Linked DNA regions of Canis lupus familiaris. The protein of the gene in region 1 interacts with the protein of each later gene in a pairwise test. Links are inferred from orthologs where the notes say so. Each region holds a gene or a part of one and is shown in the gene's direction. Other genes may lie near its edges. The genes, in order: UBQLN4 and SPP1.

Region 1 (3,817 bases):
TGCGGGACTCGATCCTGGATCCTGGGATCATGACCTGAGCTGAAGGCAGGCACCCAACCGCTGAGCCACCCAGGCATCACAGCTATGAGTTTTTAAAAGACTTTATTTTAATAAGGTATATAAAGAAAAAATATTTTATTTTAAATTATGTTTAAACGTTTAGTTTAAAATGTGTATCAGGGCAGCCCCGGTGGCTCAGCGGTTTAGCGCTGCCTACAGCCTAGGGCGTGATCCTGGAGACCCAGGATTGAGTCCCACGTCGGGCTTCCCTGTGTGGAGCCTGCTTCTCCGTCTGCCTGTGTCTCTGCCTCTCTCTGTGTGTGTGTCTCTCATGAATAAATAAATAAAATCTTAAAAAAAAATAAAATGTATATCAAAGTAATGCATGCATCTGGTTAAAAAGAAATTGAGCTGAGGATGGATTATATAACAAGCACTCTGGCTAATTCTGATGCAGGCTCAGTTGCACGACCCACTATAATAGCTGGAAGAACAGAGGTTTGGCATCAGCAAACCGAGGTTCAAATACTTTCTCTGCCACGTTTAGTGTGCAGGCGAAAGTGGGGTGCTTCACCTTTCTGAGTCTTAGTGTTCACATTTCCAAACTGGAGGCAATGTATTAAAGCAGTGGTTCTCAATTGTTTTGGCCTCTGGACTGCCTTATACACTTAGGAATTATTGAGGGCCCCAAAAAGCTTTTGTTTTTCTGGGTTAGAGCTATCAATATTCACTGCATCAGAAGTTAAAACTGAGAAACCTAAGGAGTGTTTATTTATTGTTTTAAAATAAGTGCAAATCCACTATATGTTAATGTAAACAGCGTATTCTTTTCAAAAATAACTTTAATTTCCTAAACAAAACTTTAGCGGAGAGTGGCATTGTTTTAAATTTTGCAGACTTCAAAAAAAAAAAATTGCAGACTTCTTTAATGTCTGGCTTACTTCAGGACAGCTGGACTCCCAGCTTGACTTTTGCATTTGGTCCATTGCAATGTCATGTGTCATATAGCCTCTAGAAGAGGCCACTGACCACTCACGGAGACAACAAAAGTGAAAAAAAGGAAATAGCACCTCAGAACTATAAAAACAGCATTAAGCTTCGCAGGGGTCCCAGGACCACACTTTGAGAACTGGTATATTGGAGGGCTATTGTAAACATTAGCATAAACGTGCCAGGTGCATAGTAGGTGCTCAATAAGTGGCAGCTGTTATTGCTCGAGGGAGGTCAGAAAGGGGTTCGGTGCATAGAGCGTCCTGAGAAACACAGCAGGATGCAGAACCCAGTGGTGGTGGGAGCAGGGTGAGTCATCAGGACAGGATATCTGAAACCGGGACAGCCTGGGGCCGTGTGGTACACGAACCCTGGCCTGCTGGCCTGTTCTCAGTAGACATCTGGTCAGGTGGAGGAAGTGCACCTCAGAGCTGGAGGGCCCTGGGTGAGCTCTGGGCCCCATGACCCACTTTGATGAGCAGGAAACCCCCTGGTGAGGAGGGGCTGAAGCTGCTCAAGTGAGGACCATCCGGGACCTCAGGAAAGGGAGCCTGAGCAGGGAAGTAGGGTGTAGACTCTTTCAGCAGACACACCCCTGGACAGAGCTCTTTCCTGGGTGCTCAAGGATCCGGAGAGAGGATGTTTCAGGGTTGCCTTGGGCAGCACACCACACAACGGGGTGCAGTGGGTGACAAGCGGGGGCCTGTTGAGGGAAAGGAAGGAGGCTGGGGAGGAGGAGACATGTGTGAGGCATGTTCAGCCAGAGATGGGCTCCTCTGTGTGTGCCTGGGTACATAGAATACCACTTAGGGGACCTGGAGGGGACGGTCTGGAGAGTCCGTGGGACCAAGAGGGCTCAAAAAGGGGAAGCGTCAGGGCAGGTCACAGCTCCCATCAAGCCGACAGTTACTTATTGAGCACCTACTCGCGTCAGGAGAGGGGTCAGGCGGGGAGCATAGATGACATTGTCTCTGTCCCTGAGGAGCTAAGGAAGACAGCTGTGTCGTTACATGGCGGGGAGAGCGTGTATAGAGTACCATCAGGCACAGAGGACACTAGAGACCAGTGTTTAGAGCCACCAGGGAGACGGTGACCCAGTGATCAGCACTGGCCAGGTCCCACCCTGCAGGACGAGGGGGTAGCTGCCCATTGTGCGGCTGGGACTGGAGCACAGGGCCTCCCGGGTCTCAGAGCCCTCTCCCTTGCCCGGGGAGGGGAAGCCGTTAGGTGAGAGGACACAGAGGGCCTAGCCCTTGCCCCTGGTGTGTTTCAGCCCTTAACCCAGAACCTTTCCCTCCTCCCAGTTTGGCAACAATCCCTTCTCTTCCCTGGCCGGGAACTCCGACAGCTCGTCCTCCCAGCCTCTGCGGACTGAAAACCGAGAGCCCCTCCCTAACCCCTGGAGCCCCTCGCCCCCCACCTCCCAGGCCCCCGGGTCCGGGGGGGAGGGCACCGGAGGATCGGGGACCAGCCAGGTGCACCCGACAGTCTCGAACCCCTTTGGGATCAATGCGGCTAGCCTGGGGTCAGGTATGTCCTAGGGTGGAAGGAGCTTAGTGGGGTCACCAGGGGAGTCCCTCTGCCCCAGGACTGATTGGGGCTCACGATGCTCCAGAATACTGAAGACAGGTGAGACCGGATTGAAGCCACCTGGGGGAGTAGCTCCACCCCTCAGAGGACGAAAGGGTTCTACTGGGCTGTGTCCTCCTGTCGTGGAAGTAGCCTGAGTGATGGCTCACCAATAAAGCAGGCCCTGCTTCCAGAGCTCTCACAGCCCTGCTGGAACTGTCCAGTGTAAACGGATTGGCCTGGGGAGGGGCATGTGGGAGAGGAATTGGGGCACGCCTGGGGCAGGCAGGTAGGAGGCCCGGGGGGAGAGGGATGTGCAGAGCTTTTCTGGATAGAAGTGGGGGTTACACACTGCATAATCCTTGGGGAAGCCCCATTTATCTGGATTGCGATCGTACATGTGACCCTGGGGATGTCTTTGATTTGTGTGTACCCCCGCGGGGACACTGTGATCAGAAAGTCCCTTCCTCTCTGTGTGCTTCAATTCCCTTTTTTGTAAAATAAGGGATTTGAACCTGATCCGTGGCTTTAAAATTATACTCCTGAGTCCTGGGGAGTCTGGACCATCCTCAGGAGGAGGAAGGACCGAGTGGGGGTGCTCCAGGCATCCTGCCAGGCTTTAACCAAACTGTTGGCATATTTGATGTTTGAGTGGGATCTGGTTGGAGGAAGGGGCCTCTGCCACTAAGACGAGTCTGCAACCCATGAGTCTAGGTGACCTCTATCAGATCCTTTCCAACCCTGACCTTCAGCAGGAATAGCCTGGGGGGCTTGAATGAGACCCACTTTCCCACTAGCTTGTCCTTAGCAGAGCAGCTGGGAAGGGGCTGGCCCAAAGCCACAGGGACCCTTGCCCCTGTACTTGGGAGCCCGTGCTCCTGCTGCCCTTCTGAGTTTTGGAAGCACCCAGCATTGCAAGGAGGGAGAGCGGAGGGAGGCATCTGGTTTCCATCTGGACCCCTTTTCTCCGTTCCGTTGACTTCCTCCTCGTTCCAGGGGTGTTCAACAGCCCAGAGATGCAGGCCCTCCTCCAGCAGATCTCTGAAAACCCCCAACTGATGCAGAACGTGATCTCAGCTCCCTACATGCGCAGCATGATGCAGACGCTTGCTCAGAACCCCGACTTTGCTGCTCAGGTATGGAGCTGCCACAAGGGGAGCTTGTGGGGGACAGTGACTCAGCGGGTCAGATTGGGCCCCAGCCGGACTGCTGGGCATGTGTCTCAGGCCCGCTGCCCCCTGGCTGCATAGGCTCAGCC
Region 2 (4,319 bases), on another chromosome or scaffold:
GAGAAAAGTAGATGAAAATTAAGTAATCTCAAAACAATATTAAATATTTAAAATGGAATCAGAGCTATGCTACCTCTAATTTCTGTTCTGATATTCAAAGTCACCTGTAATTTTTTTATTTAAATACCTTTTAAATACCCAGTAAAGTTTTTTTTAATATGGAAAAATGTTTTTAATTTTATTTTATTTATTAAGTAAAACCTTTATATATCGTGGGAGAAAAACTGGAAAAAAAATGATTCATAGAGCAATCTATTCCTATAGTGATATGAAAACTACCTTATTGATGTACACAGTTTAAAGATCATACATCTAACCTCATTCTAATAACCTATTCCACTTAAAGATATTACAAATGATGACTACTTGCTTCTCCAAAACTTTCAGGAATAGTTAACACACACAGTGCTTCAAATATGCATATAATATGTGCCAAGTGTTGTTAGTTTTGCACATACTAATTCATTCAAACTTCTCACAATCCTCATGAGCTAGATAATAGCGTGTGTATTTGACAGATGAGGAAACAAATATAGGTAGGCTAAGTGACTTGCCCAAGGTCAAACAGCTAATGGTGGCAGTGTAGGACTCAAAGCCACACTCTGGCCCCAGAAGCAGCCTTCTCAAGCAGTAACACTGCTCCCAGTCAGAAACTACTTTACTTCTGCAGTATATACAGTAAATTACCATTCTTCTATTTTGTATAGCAAATTATCTGATTCACCACCTCCAAACAATTCAAACAGCACAACAAAAATTCATGTCCTTGAAGGGTCATCGTAAATCCAACTTGAACATGGGCATGAACATGGAATTTAGTGTTAGTAATGTCATTTGTCTAAATGACAAGCTGCTATATACTTGAAATCACAATACCAAGCTTGAGTAGTGAAGGATGGAGGGGGCCTCTCTGAACTCTTCATACACCTGAAGGAGAGATAGCCTCGCACCTGTTAAACAAGTATATCTGTGAGGCAAATTTGGTTGCATATATGACCTTAATCTGCTATTTAACCTGAAAGAAACAAAAGTCTATTCCATTTTATTTAAGACTAATTTAATATTAATATTTTTTTCTTCTAGCTCAGAAATTATAGACTGTTTCAAAGAACTAGTCATTCCTCCCCACTTTTTTGTAGGACCCCTAGATGCCCTTCCACCATGCTAAATGCCAACCCCATAAATGAAAAAGCTAGTTAATGATATCGTACACAAGTAATGTTTTAACTATAGTTTGTGTGTTTGCTTCTTTGTTTTTTAACCACAAAAACCAGAAGGGGAAGTGTGGGAGCAAGTGGGTTGGGCAGTGGCAAAAAAACCTCATGACACATTTCTCCGCCTCCCTGTGTTGGTGGAGAATGTCTGGAGCAGCATTTAAATTCTGGGAGGTCCTGGTTGTCAGCAGCAAGAGAAGGAGAGAAGTGCAGCATCGTCCAAGACTGGGCTCTCTTCTCAGCCAGCCACAGAGCAAGGTAAGCCCGCAGTTCACTACCCCGTGTATTCAGCTTCATTTCAGGGGCAAGGGCAAGTCGTGAGGAAAGGAATTGAACTGTAAAGCTGTTAAGCAGACTTGAATTGTTCTAGGCTTTTAAATGAGCATGGGGATACGTTACAGATTTCCTGGAGGAAAGGTAACTGGTTATTTTAAAAGCCAGTCATTTATAGGACTCAAAAATACTTTGAGTCCTCAAAAGAACTGAAATTATTTCTTCCAATCAGAAGGAAAAAAAATGAAAAATTCTATGCCCCTTTCAAATAACTATATACATTAATTTAAATGGGTAGATGGCTGTGGAAGCATTTAAAGGGATAAAAATCTTTAGTGGTAATGTAAGCTAATAATAATGCTATGTTTTAATGATTTAATGTATCCAACCTATTTTCAAGAGAAAAGAAAAACCTTCTGAATAATTTACTTCTGTATTTAGCTGTTAGATTTTTCACCAAAATAACTGTATGACACTATTTAGACTTATTATCATGAATAGAAAAGCTGTTGACTATTTTCTATGTTTTGGTTTCTGTTTCAAATTTCTAGAATGCCTTTCTTAAATAACTGAGTTTTGAGACAGCCTCATTTTATCTAAGTGGTACCTTCTTAATAATTTCAGTTATAAATCACACTTAAAATGCACGCTGGAAAGATGGAGAAAGCAAGTTTCTTTCTATAGTTCTATTTTCTTTCTTCCCCTTTGTGTTTTTCTTCTCTGAGAAATAAAGATTCCAACACTAGCTTATTATTTTAGTTAAATTACTAATGATCTGTTTTTAGGTTGAGATAGCTGGAGCTATCAGGGAGTAATGATATAATTCCTGGAATTCTAAATTTTAAAGTTGAATATAGACTTGGGAGATTCCGCTCTCCCTTGCCTAATAGTGAGAGATAAAGAGGTGGCATTACAAATATTAACTCAAAAGAACATAGTGTTTGAAACAAGAGTTTTCTCCAAAAGGCAGAAAGTATTCTACAGAAAATATATTTTATTAGTAATGATTTTGTGATGTGGTAGCATAAAGAAGTATGACTGTTTTACCCTACAAAGAAACCGAATATTCCTTATAAAATATTTTGCAGGAAAACTCACCATGAGGATTGCAGTGATTTGCTTTTGCCTCTTAGGCATTGCCTACGCCATTCCGGTGAGTACAGCTGCATCTTAAAGGAAATTTCTCAAAATAAATGAATTGTGTGCTCCCCTGTGCTAGGAACACATTCACATTGTTCTTTGTTCATTTTTTCTATTTCAAAGATTAAGCACGCTGATTCTGGGAGCTCTGAGGAAAAGCAGGTAAGCATCTTTTCGGTTTATCATGTAATTAAATTATATGCAGCTGTACAAGAGGTACTACAAACATATTTGTTGCCATTTTACTTATCTTCATAGTCTTGCTGTTGATTGATAAGTATTTACTGACTGCTGCTTTCAATCTAGGCCTGCTAAGTACACTTACAGATGGTCCCCAACTTATAGTGCTTCCATTTACAGTTTTTCAACTTTACGATGGTAGGAAAGCCATATGCTAGTAGAAATCATACTTCAAATTTTGAATTTTGAACTTTTCCGGGCCTGGTGATGTATGGTACAATATTCTCTTGTAATACTGGGCAGTGACAGTGAGTTGCAGCATCCAGCCAAGCCACGGGATCACAAGAGTAAACACCAATATGCTTCCAACTATTCTGTATGCATACAACCATTCCATTTTTCACTTTCAGTACAGTATTCAATAAATTAAATGAGATATTCGATGATTTGTTATAAAATAGGCTTTGTGTTAGATGCTTTTGCCCAACACAAACTAATGTATACATTCTGAGCATGTTTAAGGTAGGCTAAGCTGTGCTATGATGCCCAGTAGGTTAGGTGTACTAAATGCATTTTTGACCCACCATATTTTCAACTTGCAATGGGTTTATTAGGACATAACCCCATTGGAAATTGAGGAAGATCTGTGTAGTTTTTAGTAAATATATGCTCTTAACACCAAACTAGTTCTTTTATATAATAAAATAATGCTCTAGGCCATTGTCATTTATATAAAATGAATTCTAGGAAGTCAAGTGAATTTTTCTTTCCATGAGTCAACATACTGTACTAGACATAGAAAATTCCATCCATGCTTTTTTAAGTTTATTTTTTTTAATATTTTATTTATTTATTCATGAGAGGCACAGAGAGAGAGAGAGGCAGAGACACAGGCAGAGACACAGGCAGAGGGAGAAACAGGCTCCATGCAGGGAGCCTGACATGGGACTCGATCCCGGGTCTCCAAGATCACACCCTGGGCCAAAGGCAGGCACTAAACCACTGAGCCACCCAGGGATCCTCCGCTTTTTTAAGTTTAAAATTTGTCTCACATACTGGATAGTTTGTATGGCCACAATATTCATAATATCTACTAAGATATTTGCTAAGAAACCCATTAAAAAAGAAAGGTTTTTATGCTGTTTGGATCTATTATGCTTGTCAGCTGACTTTAGATAACAATTTTCTAACCGAGCATAAGACCAAATAAAACCCTTTATTATAACTCTTTGACCAGCACCATAGATGTACATGCTCCTCCAAAATAGGTAAAATTGTGCCAGCCAAACAACAAATGGGCATTGTCCTGAGGAGCTTAGGCTAAAAGATACACAGAGTTCAATCCCAGATGAACAGAATAAAGGCCTGTGTAGTGTTCTCTGGGGTCACTGAAAGTAGATTGCTTAATGAAGACATTAGGAGATGTTTTGCTGCAAGTGTCTAGGTGTGCAAGTAGGTGTGTATAGGCATGTCTGTCTTCTAATTGATTTGAGAAAACAAATACGGAAGCAC

Evidence for each region.
Region 2: the proteins of UBQLN4 (region 1) and SPP1 interact in a two-hybrid assay, tested with the Homo sapiens proteins (2 studies listed by BioGRID and IntAct). The link is inferred for Canis lupus familiaris from reciprocal best matches to the Homo sapiens genes UBQLN4 and SPP1.

What each region holds. Positions count from the first base shown.
Region 1 is NC_049228.1:41,755,902-41,759,718, forward strand, and holds part of UBQLN4 (ubiquilin-4), read left to right. Parts: intron 1-2,294; coding exon 2,295-2,520; intron 2,521-3,555; coding exon 3,556-3,695; intron 3,696-3,817. UniProt on the Homo sapiens protein: Regulator of protein degradation that mediates the proteasomal targeting of misfolded, mislocalized or accumulated proteins.
Region 2 is NC_049253.1:28,635,612-28,639,930, reverse strand, and holds the start of SPP1 (osteopontin), read left to right. Parts: upstream 1-1,331; 5' UTR 1,332-1,472; intron 1,473-2,575; 5' UTR 2,576-2,586; coding exon 2,587-2,640; intron 2,641-2,750; coding exon 2,751-2,789; intron 2,790-4,319. UniProt on the Homo sapiens protein: Major non-collagenous bone protein that binds tightly to hydroxyapatite. Appears to form an integral part of the mineralized matrix. Probably important to cell-matrix interaction.